3 linked regions of the Arabidopsis thaliana genome follow. The protein of the gene in region 2 interacts with the protein of the main gene of each other region in a pairwise test. Each region holds a gene or a part of one and is shown on either strand. Other genes may lie near its edges.

Evidence for each region.
Region 1: the proteins of HB23 (region 2) and PFN2 interact in a two-hybrid assay, tested with the Arabidopsis thaliana proteins (one large-scale study listed by BioGRID).
Region 3: the proteins of HB23 (region 2) and MBD6 interact in a two-hybrid assay, tested with the Arabidopsis thaliana proteins (one large-scale study listed by BioGRID).

Annotation. Positions count from the first base shown.
Region 1 is NC_003075.7:14,447,586-14,451,644, reverse strand, and holds PFN2 (profilin 2), read right to left. Parts: upstream 1,758-4,059; 5' UTR 1,511-1,757; coding exon 1,388-1,510; intron 910-1,387; coding exon 772-909; intron 661-771; coding exon 526-660; 3' UTR 251-525; downstream 1-250. Other genes in the region: AT4G29360 (O-Glycosyl hydrolases family 17 protein), read left to right, coding at 1-83; PRF4 (profilin 4), read right to left, coding at 3,178-3,312, 3,398-3,535, 3,796-3,927. UniProt on the Arabidopsis thaliana protein: Binds to actin monomers and regulates the organization of the actin cytoskeleton. At high concentrations, profilin prevents the polymerization of actin, whereas it enhances it at low concentrations.
Region 2 is NC_003076.8:15,909,481-15,913,539, reverse strand, and holds HB23 (homeobox protein 23), read right to left. Parts: upstream 2,191-4,059; 5' UTR 1,998-2,190; coding exon 993-1,997; 3' UTR 680-992; downstream 1-679. UniProt on the Arabidopsis thaliana protein: Putative transcription factor. Probably involved in establishing polarity during leaf development through the gibberellic acid (GA) signaling pathway.
Region 3 is NC_003076.8:23,950,306-23,954,364, reverse strand, and holds MBD6 (methyl-CPG-binding domain 6), read right to left. Parts: upstream 2,234-4,059; 5' UTR 2,045-2,233; coding exon 1,736-2,044; intron 1,327-1,735; coding exon 1,204-1,326; intron 1,126-1,203; coding exon 880-1,125; 3' UTR 658-879; downstream 1-657. Other genes in the region: ACT4 (actin 4), read right to left, coding at 2,779-2,844, 2,950-3,563, 3,712-4,059. UniProt on the Arabidopsis thaliana protein: Transcriptional regulator that binds CpG, CpNpN and CpNpG (N is A, T, or C) islands in promoters regardless the DNA methylation status. Plays probably a role in gene silencing. May associate with histone deacetylase proteins (HDAC).

The sequences.
Region 1 (4,059 bases), on a different chromosome or scaffold from region 2:
CAACCAATGAAGCATTCAGACAAATGGTGGTTGCAGTCTCTGTTTTGTTGCCGTGTTTTGTAGTTTGTTCGAGTATTTGGTGACAAGTGTGTACATGAATGCACTGTCGCCTTCTTTTGTATGAAGTTTTGAGTAGTGAGCGAACTTAAACTAGAATTTAGCCCAACTGTTGAACTTGGTAATTTCTTTCACCACGTAACCGAAATGTCAAGCTTGGTGATGTATTTGTGACTGAACCTAGAAAATTTTTATGAGCTGATCGAGAACAAATGATCACAAACTCAAATTTTTATTCCAAAGCGTAATTATACATTACGAAATACAGTACAAGAGAAAAACATAAGAGCCATCATAGGAGAGGATCAAAACCATAACAAATATGATTGTTTCTTTGTTCTTTTTAAGAGTATAATAACTTTGTTTGATGCACAACAACAATCAAATCACAATACATGGCAGAAGGGTGCTTCTCTAGTGAAGAAAGAACCCGAAAAATGAAATTTGTTTGAAGCACTTTGAGTGAACTTAGAGACCAGACTCGATAAGGTAATCGCCGAGCCTCTCCACGACCAAGTTGCATTGCCCTCCGGTCATCGGTTCATCATAGATACCAAAGACTAGAGCTTGAGTAGTCTTCTTGATAGTGACTCCACCAGGTCCCTGCAAGAAGTAAGCATGGACTTTAACTTGCTGATCTAAAAGACTGATCCTTTGATTCATTATCTCAATCAAAACCACAAAAAAAGAGTCTTCTCGAATGAAAAATGTTACCTTTTTCCCTCGGATGACGGCTCCAGCCTCACCTTGGACAACCATGTACTTCTCACCGCCAAGGAATAGCCCGGTTGGGGCAAGATGTCCGGCTTCTTCAAAGTCTTTGTTGATTCCTGCTATCTCTGCAGGCTTCAACTAAATACATGAACAAGAACAACAAAGTAGGCAATTAGCTTCAACCGACTGAGCAATGATACTACTACCAATACAACAGATCCTTTACATGGTTTATACAATACTGAGCAGAGGTGACAATTCATATGCAATGACCCTAAGATCTCAAATTCAAGTAAAATACCAAATTTTGAAGAATTTGGTGAAAAGTTTTATCATTTGATGAATTGAAAGGAGATAAGATTCTGTGCCAAGCAAAACACCTATAGACAAGATTTGACTACTGAAACCATGAAAATCTCAGAATCAAACTCCAATCAATCACTGAGAAAATCAGATTGTCAGAGAGAACAAGTCAGAAGCTAGCAAATCAAAACCAGATCCAAGTTTCCTCAGATCGGATCACAAGGAATAAACCTAAATCAGACGATTGAATCAGATCGATGAACTTATTTGAGACAGAGGATCGGAAGAAACGCGAAGAAGAAGGAAGAAAAACCTGAGGGAAAGCTGAGCTCTGAGCCCAGACACTGCCGTCTTGGCCGAAGATGGCGGCGTGTGTGAGGTGGTTGCCTTCGACCTCGCACATGAGATGGTCATCGACGTATGATTGCCACGACATCTTTCTTCTTCTCCGGCGAGATGAGACTGTTTCTTCTTCTTCTTGTTGTCTCTGCTTCTTCTTCTTCTTCCTCTTCTTCTGTAGCGTGCTTTTGGTTTGTAGACTTGGACAACCTTTGAGCTTAAATTATTAATAACACGATTTAGCCTTCCAATAAAAAAAAACTCTTTTTTAATTTCTACTGCAAAAAATTCCATTAAAATACATATTTTATTTATTTACTGAATTTGATAAAGACAGCTAAAAGAAATACCAAAAAAAAAAAAAAAGTAGATACAAATGAAATTCAAAATGTTTTGTGTGAAAGTCGATAAATAATTTTAAAATGATAATCAAAAGAAAATATTTTTAAAATGATTAAAATTTGCATCCGGTTAAAAGAAATGATTTTTTTAATCTATTAACAATTTCATTTCTCGGGTTTTACATTATTTCTACAGTTTTTATTTTTAAACAAGATCATATAGAAAATGCATATAATTCTTGCATGGTATAATTTGATCTAACGCTAAAAGTATATTGAAAATTTGTGTAAATAAAATTGTCAAACCAAATGTGAAAACGTTTTAGATTTTATTGGAACAAATGAAGTTTACATAAATAAACAATACAAAAGTTTTTTTTTCTTTTCTAAAAAAAACAATACTAGAGAATTTAATTTCCAAAATCAAAGAAAAGAGATCGAAGTATGGCCATAATTTGTTTACAGGGTGGATATGCTCTTGCATTGTGTGCCATACACCAAAATATTCCAATTATTTAGGTCCACCCTTTACAATTAATGTTCTCTTTTCCTAATGTCATTGTCAATAAATGTTTCTTAATTACCCAAAATTTAGAAAGATGGTTAATAAACCTTTTTCTATTCCAAAAAAAAAAAAAATGTTTTTGAGTTATTGAAGAGAAACAATCACTTGCTATTGTTAATTTGTTATATGTGCATCGTATTGATTCAAAGTGAATATTGTGAGATAACAAAAATTTCCTTATATCTAAGTGATAATGTAATAATAGGGAAAAAAGACTGAGATTCGATTTCTCGATGAGCTGTTAGATTAGCACATAATAAAGACAGATGGGATGGGAATGATTTTCCGACATAATTGTACTATTATTACTTTCCTATTAAAGATTAAAGTTGATGAATGAATTCTGCCTGTTGCCATTTTTCTTTCTCATGTTCATTTTTTCTTTCTTACGAATGAAATCACTAGGAAAGATTGCGTTGCGTATCAGTTTTTTCTTCTGTTGTAAATAATGAGTGTTGATGTATGTGTTAAATGCTCGTGTAAATTTTGAAAGTGTTTTTAGTATTGTGAGATTAATGTCTCTACTACACTACATACAATTTTCTATAGATTATGATAATGCAATTTTCTCAATCAATACGTTAATATTTAGTGTAGTAGACAGAATGCAATTGACAAAAAAGCAAAGAGAAAACAACTAAAACATGCATATAAATAAGAAACCAAGGCAAAGAGAGTAAAAGCCTTTTAGGCTTCAGCTTTCTTAAAAGTTTGCTATGGGGAGAAACCAGGAAGGTCCATTAGCCCAAAACTTATAATATCAATTAGAGAAAGAGATGCAAATCACCCAAAGGAAAAAAATAGGAGAAACAATGGCCTTATAAAAAAATGTAGGTGGTGGAACATTGTAAGAAGATTCTAGAGACCCTGTTCGAGGAGGTAATCACCCAACCTCTCGACGACCATGTTGCACTGTCCTGGTGTCACTGGCTCTTCATAGATCCCAAACACACATGACTGTCCTGTTTTCTTTATCGTTATGCCTCCTGCTCCCTAATTGAAAGAAGCATATATTGAATTAGAACCCTCTTCAACATGGTATTTGCATATCTGATCATGAAGCTACTGATTAGGTTACCTTCTTGCCACGGATTACAGCCCCGGGCTCACCTTGGATCACCATGTACTTTGCTCCTGCCATGAATAATCCCGTGGGTGCCAAGTGACCCGGTTCGTCGAAATCTTTCATAATATCACTGAACTCCTGTCCCTTGAACTATATGAAAGACCAAATCACGATTAGTCGATTACCATGAGACAACATGCATCATTTGTTTTCAAATCTATGCAAAACATATAAAAAGAAACACACACACACAAAATACACTATATATATATCCCATGACAAACATTGATAGAATCTAATCAAAACATGATGCATGATCTAAATCACATTGTAAAAACACATATCATATCGGATAGCAACACTATCAGGATCTAAATCACATTGAGATCAGACGCAATGAAATCAAATACCTGAGGGAAGTTGGCGCTCTGAGCCCAAACGCTACCGTCATGACCAACGATAGCGGCAGCAGTAAGGTGGTGTCCTTGACCATCGCCAACATCACACATCAAATGCTCATCAACGTAAGTTTGCCACGACATCTTCTTCTTCTTTTCTTATTTTTTTTCTTCTTCTTTGTTTATGATCTATACGTTAAGTGCCCCGGTTATGTGCAGCGTGGGGACTTCGTCCTTCAGATAAATAGGAGAGGAAGGAACAAGGATCATTTTAAA
Region 2 (4,059 bases):
ACAATAATAATAAAGTGATGAAATTTTTTAAATCCAACTAAATGTCTAATACCGTAACAAATATAGTAAAAAATCAGCAATGATGGAAATAAACTAATAAAACATCGTGAATTCACACAACTAATATCGGATATCTCACTCACCATTCGATTCATTTTTTAAGGCGGCATTGTGAAGTCTTCATCAAAATCTTAAACATCAAATGGGTTTAAGAACTGAAAAATATCTAAAAATTGATTGAATAAAGTCTAAAATCTCATATTTTATTCCAAAATCAAGAGAATTTTTTAAAACCCACATCCGGCCAGTTCAACTGGTTCATCGGGTCACGGGTTAATGATGAGTTTTTGTGGGTTTTTTCGGTTTTGAACTTGTTGGATTTTAATACTAAACCCAAACCGGAAAAGTGTTCGGGTCACGGTTCAACCGGTCGGACCGGACGGTCCGGGTCGGACGTGAAAACACTGGGTGTTAACAACAATGCTACTAATATACTAATGATGGCTAATCATTTGATATAGAATAAAAAAATAAAATAAAATTAAGAGGATCTAAGAAAGAAAAAAAGTACACCTACTACATCTAGTTTGGTTGCAAATAAAATTAAGAAGAGTACTTTAAAAGATAAGAAACCAAATGAATATTTATAGTAACTAATCATGTTTCACTCGTTTATTAATCTTTTTGTTTCTTCATCCGAAACAAGATTACCACATCAAAAGTGTACCATTTATTGGAGTACTTAGTCACATTTCAGGGTTCATTAATAGAAATGTTTACAACAAATGATATAATTCGAACATTGTTATGGTATTATTCCTCATCGAGCGAGACACCGACGTGGTAAAGAACATTAAATCAAAACTAATAATAATGCAAAAACAAACAAAGCTAAAGATCTTAATTAATATTTAATAGAAAGTTATTAACGATGATAATACGAATAAGCTTACTCTAAGCTTCTTATTAACCTGACACTCTCATCTTTAACTTCACGACGACGATGATCCGTTAACGTTACCACCGTTAGCTCCGCCGCTATCACTATCAAATCCTCCGCCACCACCGCCGCTACTAACACTCTGGTGAAGCTCTCCTCCTCCTCCGACACCGTGGTGTCCATTGTTATGGTTATTAATCTCGCCGGCGAGAATCGGAGTGTGGTTTCCTCCGCCGTTATCGATTTGCCGGATCTCGTTTCCGGCGATATCACGGCGGTTAAAGGTGTTTTTGTTGTTATGCATCCAAACTTTGAGAACACTTTTATCAACTCCGATCTGCCGGCAAAAATCACGAACATCGTCTTCGTCACGTTTTTGCATCTTCCAACCAACACGTTCGGCGAATTCATGCATCTTCTCTTTCTGAAACTGGCTGAATTTTGTTCGGAATCTTTTACGAGATCCGTGAAGAGTATGTTGGTGGTGGTGGTGGTGGTTGTTTCCGGCGGAGAAGTTAAGATCGGAGAAAGAAGCTAAGTTGTTGTTGTTGTTATTAGTACCGGAGAGAGATAAGAGCATGTAAGAGGAAGAGATTGGTGGAGGAGAAGCTGAGTTAGGACTACGTGGTGGTGGAGGAGGTGGTGGTGGTGGTGGATGATGACGGTGGTGAGGTTGATACTCTACGGCGGTGGAAGGAGGAGGAGGGATTTGGGAAGAGTCGTTGTTGTTATCTGGATCACGGCGGTGGAAATTACGGTGGCAGCCACAAGCAGCACATTTGAGAGAAGTTGGATCGGAGGAGATTGACGACGGAGACGGCATGAATTCGCCGCAACCGTCGAGAGCGTGACCACCTAAAGCCGCCGCGTGGTTTTTGAGACATTCTTTGTAAGTAAAGAGGAGAGGATGGTGGTGGTGGTGGTGGCGTTTGATGATGCCGTTGCTAAAGGAAATGGGTTTCGCCGGTTGGATCCGGGTCGGAGTTTCGGATTCGGGTTCGGGTGATTTAGGAGTTGGTGTTGTTGTTGTTGTTATTGTAGGAGTCATATCCATCATAGCTTAAAACATTAATATAACCAATAATTTGAAGAAAAAAAAGACTTAGGGTTTTTGGGTTAAGAGCTTTGAAAATATGGTATGAGTTTCAGAGAATGTGAATAGAAAAATGAAGAAGAAGAAGAAATAAAGATAAGTAAAAAGGTTCTAACTTCTTAAGCTGTTGGAGATTTTTTAATATTACATATTTTCCACTTGATTTTTTATTGGTAATATTCGTTTAGAGGAGGAAAAGAAGAAAATGATATGATGACTATGACGACTGTTGCTGAAGCAAATAAAGAAATAATATTTTGAAAAAGGACAATTGTATTAAACTAAATTTATGATTTTAAATGAAATAATAAAGAGACTTGGATTTAGGGATATTTTAATCAAGGGAACCAAGGTTTGATGATTTTTAACCATGGTTAGGTAGATGGAGTTTGTGGGATCGACAAAGAGAGTGCGTGTTAAATTTTGCGGTGAAAAAGCGTAATAAATGTGGCTACTAGTGTCTTAAACATAAAGGCACAAGTCAAAACTGAAAAAGAAAAAATAAGTCTTATGGTAATAATGGGTTACATTTGTTCTAAGATCAGCAATGTTGTGAAAGATACTCCTTCGACTACAACAAAAACGTTAAGGTCAAACCTTTCAAATGAAGGAATGAGAAAGATCACTTTCTTGTAAAAGTTGGGGGTGAATTTTTAGGTTTCCACTATGGTTAAGTTTATATGGGTGATATTCGACGGAAAATGTCAATTTTGCTAGATTTTGATGAACAAGTTGAGAGCAATGATCGAAATTCCGTCCTTCATATACTAGAGATTATTAGAGGATCCAAAACTAGAGATTATTAGAGGATCCAAAACTATTATGAGAAATCCATTAGCCAATGTAACTAGGGTGATAGCTACTAGAGATTCATATAAATTTGTTTTTAAATATCAATGTATTGTAAGGTAATCTTAAGAGTTGTCTCAAAACAAATTTTTTTCTTTTTCTTTATAAAAGGAATTTTGTGCAAAAATAACTTTCAAAGACGTCAATTTTTACAAATTTATCATCTATCTCTAAAAAAATGCAAAATAATTGTATGAAATCAAAAATAATATGCAATATAGCTTCATTTTTTTGTTATAGTTAAATTTTTAAAATTTTGATAAATAATATATCAAATTAAAATCTTCGAGACGAGGAGTCCAACTCTACTTTCACAATTTTAAAAAGCAAATGTATGTGATCATAGAAACATTTACAATATATGTATAGGGCTATATTGCGTCTTATTTTGTATTTTATAGGATTATTATGTATTTTGTAGAGATTAATGGTAAAGTTGAAAAAATTAGCGACTTAATTATGATTTTTTTTTGCACAAACCCCTTATAAAAATATCAATTTTGAATCATTGTATTCTTGTTGACAAGTTAAAGTCTTTTTTCTTTTCTATTAATTGCATCATAATAAAGTTTTTATAAGCGATTTCATTTCAATCTTTCTATTATTTCTACCTAGCTTAATAAGTCCATTTGAGCTTGAATCCTACTAGCTTTGAATTCTCCCACAGAGATGTTCCTTGGCACAACTATCACGGCCCGTTCGTAAAGAATCATCCACGGACAATGTTTTGCTTAAATAATTGCGGCTCCAAAGAATTCTTTTGGGGAGAGTGCTATTCTGTTCTTAATTAATGCAATCCCAAAACATAATGGGTAGAAGGACTTCATGGTCATGTAAAGGAGATTACATGCAAACGATGAAGATATCTTCGACTTTCTTTTTGGTTAGACTTTAGAGGTAGAGAAGCTAATCTTATAGCAGATTTAGTGGTAATGATTGATGACTTAATGGGCTAATGGAATAATACAATTGGCATTAATTTTTATGGGCCGGGTTATTGCACACATGCAACTATAGTGATTTCAGAACAGCCCATCCGAGGACTTGAGTATAAAATAGACAAATTCAAGAAGGAAGTTTGAAGACCCCAAATTACCCCTTTCTAACGTCTCAAAATGATTGGGTTCGAAGCATAAATCATAGTTACACTTGTTTGTAATCATAGGCATATGTAATC
Region 3 (4,059 bases), 8.0 Mb from region 2:
CTCCCCAAAATTGCTTTTTGAAGAGACAGACCGTCGCAGCAAACTCAGTGGCAATACTGTAAATTTTAATAAACAGAGAGGGGAAATGATAGTCAAAAGCCAACAAAACTTAAAACCTTTTCGTTTCACTTTTTTTCAAAAGCTTGGGATACAAGACTAATAAGGAAGCCTCTGGTACACCTAGAAGGTTACAAGACCAAAAATTACTAAATTAGACGATGGGTTGGGAGAGTTCCAATGGCCTTTTTGATAATTTATTGCAGATATTAAATGTGCTACAACCAGTTACATTCGAACCCCACAAATTGTTTGGTTAACAAAATCTAAAATTATGTTTGGGAAAAATATAATTGCGTCTGCCGGGAGTCGAACCCGGGTCTATTGCTTGGAAGGCAATTATCCTAACCGTTGGACTACAGACGCTTCTTGTCTTGTATCAGTGCAGTATTGTTGATGTTTCTTCTTATCCATTAGATTTAGATAACCTGAGCAGGTGAGACATGTCAAGCATTAGTTCTTGAATTACGACACTGGTTTCACAAAGAACAAGATCTTTTCCTAAACACAAAGTAAAAGACTTTGGAACACAGAATAGTTCAGTATCAAAATGTCTAAGAAGAATAGCTTTGTTACTACGACAGTGTCTTCAATTTCATCAGTCAAAAGTCGAATGGTTATCACGTTCCAAAAGCAAACACAAAGATGCATATCCCCTTATCATATTCTTCCAAAAACCGCTACAAAAATTATAGTACACATAACTTGATGATTGATGAATGAAGACTAAACAAGAATTATCCAATTAAGTAACCCTAACATATCTGTGTATCTTACCATAGATGCAACAACCCAAAAATCGCCACCAGGTCATCATAGTCTTCAAGCCGACACTTTACTAGGGTTTCGGCTTGTGATAAAGGTAAACGCAGTGCTCCAATCTCGTCTCACTGAGTCTTGAACCTTGACGTCCCCAATATTAGGTATCCAACCTTCTTCTCCTGCGTTTGCCATAGACCAGCTTACCTTGTCTGGTGGATTCTTAAAATCAAAGTCCAATGGCGGTGGCGGAGGTGGAGGCACTGTAGCGGTTCTGGTGACTCTATTGCTTCCTTGGCCTTCAAAATGCTGCAAATGCAAAATTCAATACACATCACAGGTTTGAAACCAGGGTGAAAGGTTTAATCTTTAAGCATGTAAACTCACGTCTGGATTGAAATATGTATTCTCAGCTTTCTTGGTGCCTCTTTTAGAAGTTCCATGTTCCAAGTAGTACAGCACCTCAGTCCTGGACCGAAACTTACGTCCTGTATTTGGTTCGTAATAGTACTGCAAAACCAGATAAGAAAATGTCACAAGTCTACACATCAATATCTACACCCATATTAGCATCGAGTATAACAACACCAAAACTTCATCTCTTCAATCACAATATATACCAAACCAAACCATCTAAATCCACCTGATAAATCAAAGTAACACTAATCACACTGATAAAGTGTATGATTCAAGTCCCAATACACCATTAACATAATCTAAACAAACTCATTAATGCTTAAGCAGAACCAACCACATCATTTTACTACATCATTACACTTGTCACTACTTTAAAGGCAAGATTTTTAAACCAAAGAGAACAAAACAACAGCAATCAAAGAATCCTCAATTTGTAGTCTTCAAGCAACAACGCAGCTCAAAACTTCATAGAGAAAAGCAGAGTCAAGCTGAGATTCTTTACCTTATCCACCGAACCAGCTGTGGCACCGGAAGTTCGAATCTTATCTTCAACTCTCCAACCAGGAGGCAACCAATTATCTCCAGGCGCCGCACGCTTCCGCGACTTCGATTCCGTCTGATGATTCACCTGATCAGTGCCGTTAGCCATCCCGATGCGTACGCTCTCTCCCGAACCAGAAATTCCGATTCCTCCCTGAATCGGTCGTCGTTTCGCACTACTGTCTAGGGTTCCGTCACCGGCGGAGGAGATGAAGGCTCCGGAGGCGAGAAGTGGATCGGGAGGGAAATCGCCGGCCACAGAATCTGACATACGAATTAGGGATTTGTCTTCACCAATGAGCAATGAGATCGCAGATTTTAACGGCGACGATCTCGAGAAATGGATTCTCCGTCGCAGCTTCTGTTTCTGGGTTTACGATTCGGTTCGGTTAAACCGAGATCGAATAAGAAATTAAAATTTAGTTAACCATCAACAATTCGTTTCTTCTTTTCTTTACCAACAAACATAATAAACACGTTTTATTACTAAATGAAACATTTAAACTCATCTTCTCATCACTAATCCATCAGTTTAACATTTTGTGTTGTGTTTATTGACACTTATTAGACCACATCCATTTAACCGAGTAATCTAAGATTTAGTGAGTTTCGACAATATGCATTTATATGTCACAATTGTTTGTACTAGATCAACATTATGGAGCTTGTTTTGTGTTTGATACGGATGTCTTTGAAGTATATTAGTCACAATTGTTTAACCATCACAAAATCTCTTTTGAGTAACAAATAAATTAAGTTTAAAATAGAAAATATAATAATTGAAATTAGTCGCTTATATATAGTACATTGGGAGTGGAAATTGTTTAAAGAAAAGTATGCTTAGTTGAAAAATTAACATAGAGAGGCTATTCAAAAAAAAAAGGATAAAAGAGAGATTAGAAAATATAATGGAAAAATGTGGCATTTGGTAGTAATCTCAATGTTTTTAACCTTCTGTCTTTTACTTTTACTTCCGTCTTCGTTTGGTGATCTTAGGAACTGTGATTAGAAGCATTTCCTATGCACTATTGAGGGTCCAGATTCATCGTACTCTGCTTTCGCAATCCACATCTGTCAAGTTTTCAAACACATACCAATATTTATATCAAAACAAACTTATGAATGTTATATTATACATGATCAAATAATAATAAAAATGTATATTAATGTGTTCACCTGCTGGAAAGTGCTGAGTGAAGCCAATATAGAGCCACCGATCCATACACTGTACTTCCTCTCCGGTGGAGCCACGACCTTAATCTTCATACTACTTGGAGCCAAAGCCGTAATCTCTTTGCTCATTCTATCACCAATCCCTCCAAACATTGTGGTTCCACCACTTAGCACAATGTTACCATACAAGTCTTTCCTAATATCCACATCACATTTCATGATAGAGTTATATGTGGTTTCATGGATTCCTGGATTTTCCATTCCGATCATTGACGGCTGGAACAGAACTTCCGGACACCGGAACCTCTCTGCTCCAATGGTTATCACTTGTCCATCAGGAAGCTCGAAGCTTTTCTCAACGGACGAGCTTGTTTTGGAAGTCTCTAGCTCTTGCTCGAAGTCTAGAGCAATGTAAGAGAGCTTCTCTTTCATGTCTCTAACAATTTCACGTTCAGCAGTTGTGGTGAAGGAGTATCCACGCTCTGTGAGGATTTTCATGAGGTGGTCCGTGAGGTCACGACCTGCTAGGTCAAGACGTAGGATTGCGTGTGGGAGAGCGTAACCCTCGTAGATTGGTACCGTGTGGCTCACACCATCTCCAGAGTCCAAAACAATACCTAATCAATAATTTGCAAAAGAACCAATTAGGGTTGTCCATAAAAGCATAACCAAATAGTCCTTAAAATAGTTCATATTATTTAAAATCAAGCATGAAAAAAAACTGGTTATAGATTGGATCAACACAAATATAAGTGTGTTACTGACCAGTTGTACGGCCACTGGCATAGAGTGAGAGAACAGCTTGAATGGCAACATACATAGCAGGAGTATTGAATGTCTCAAACATGATCTGAGTCATCTTCTCACGGTTAGCTTTCGGATTGAGAGGAGCTTCGGTCAAGAGAACCGGATGTTCTTCAGGGGCAACACGAAGCTCATTGTAGAAAGTGTGATGCCAAATCTTCTCCATGTCATCCCAATTATTAACAATTCCATGCTCAATTGGGTACTTCAGAGTCAAGATACCACGTTTTGATTGAGCCTCGTCTCCAACATAAGCATCCTTTTGTCCCATCCCTACCATCACACCCGTGTGGCGAGGACGGCCTACAA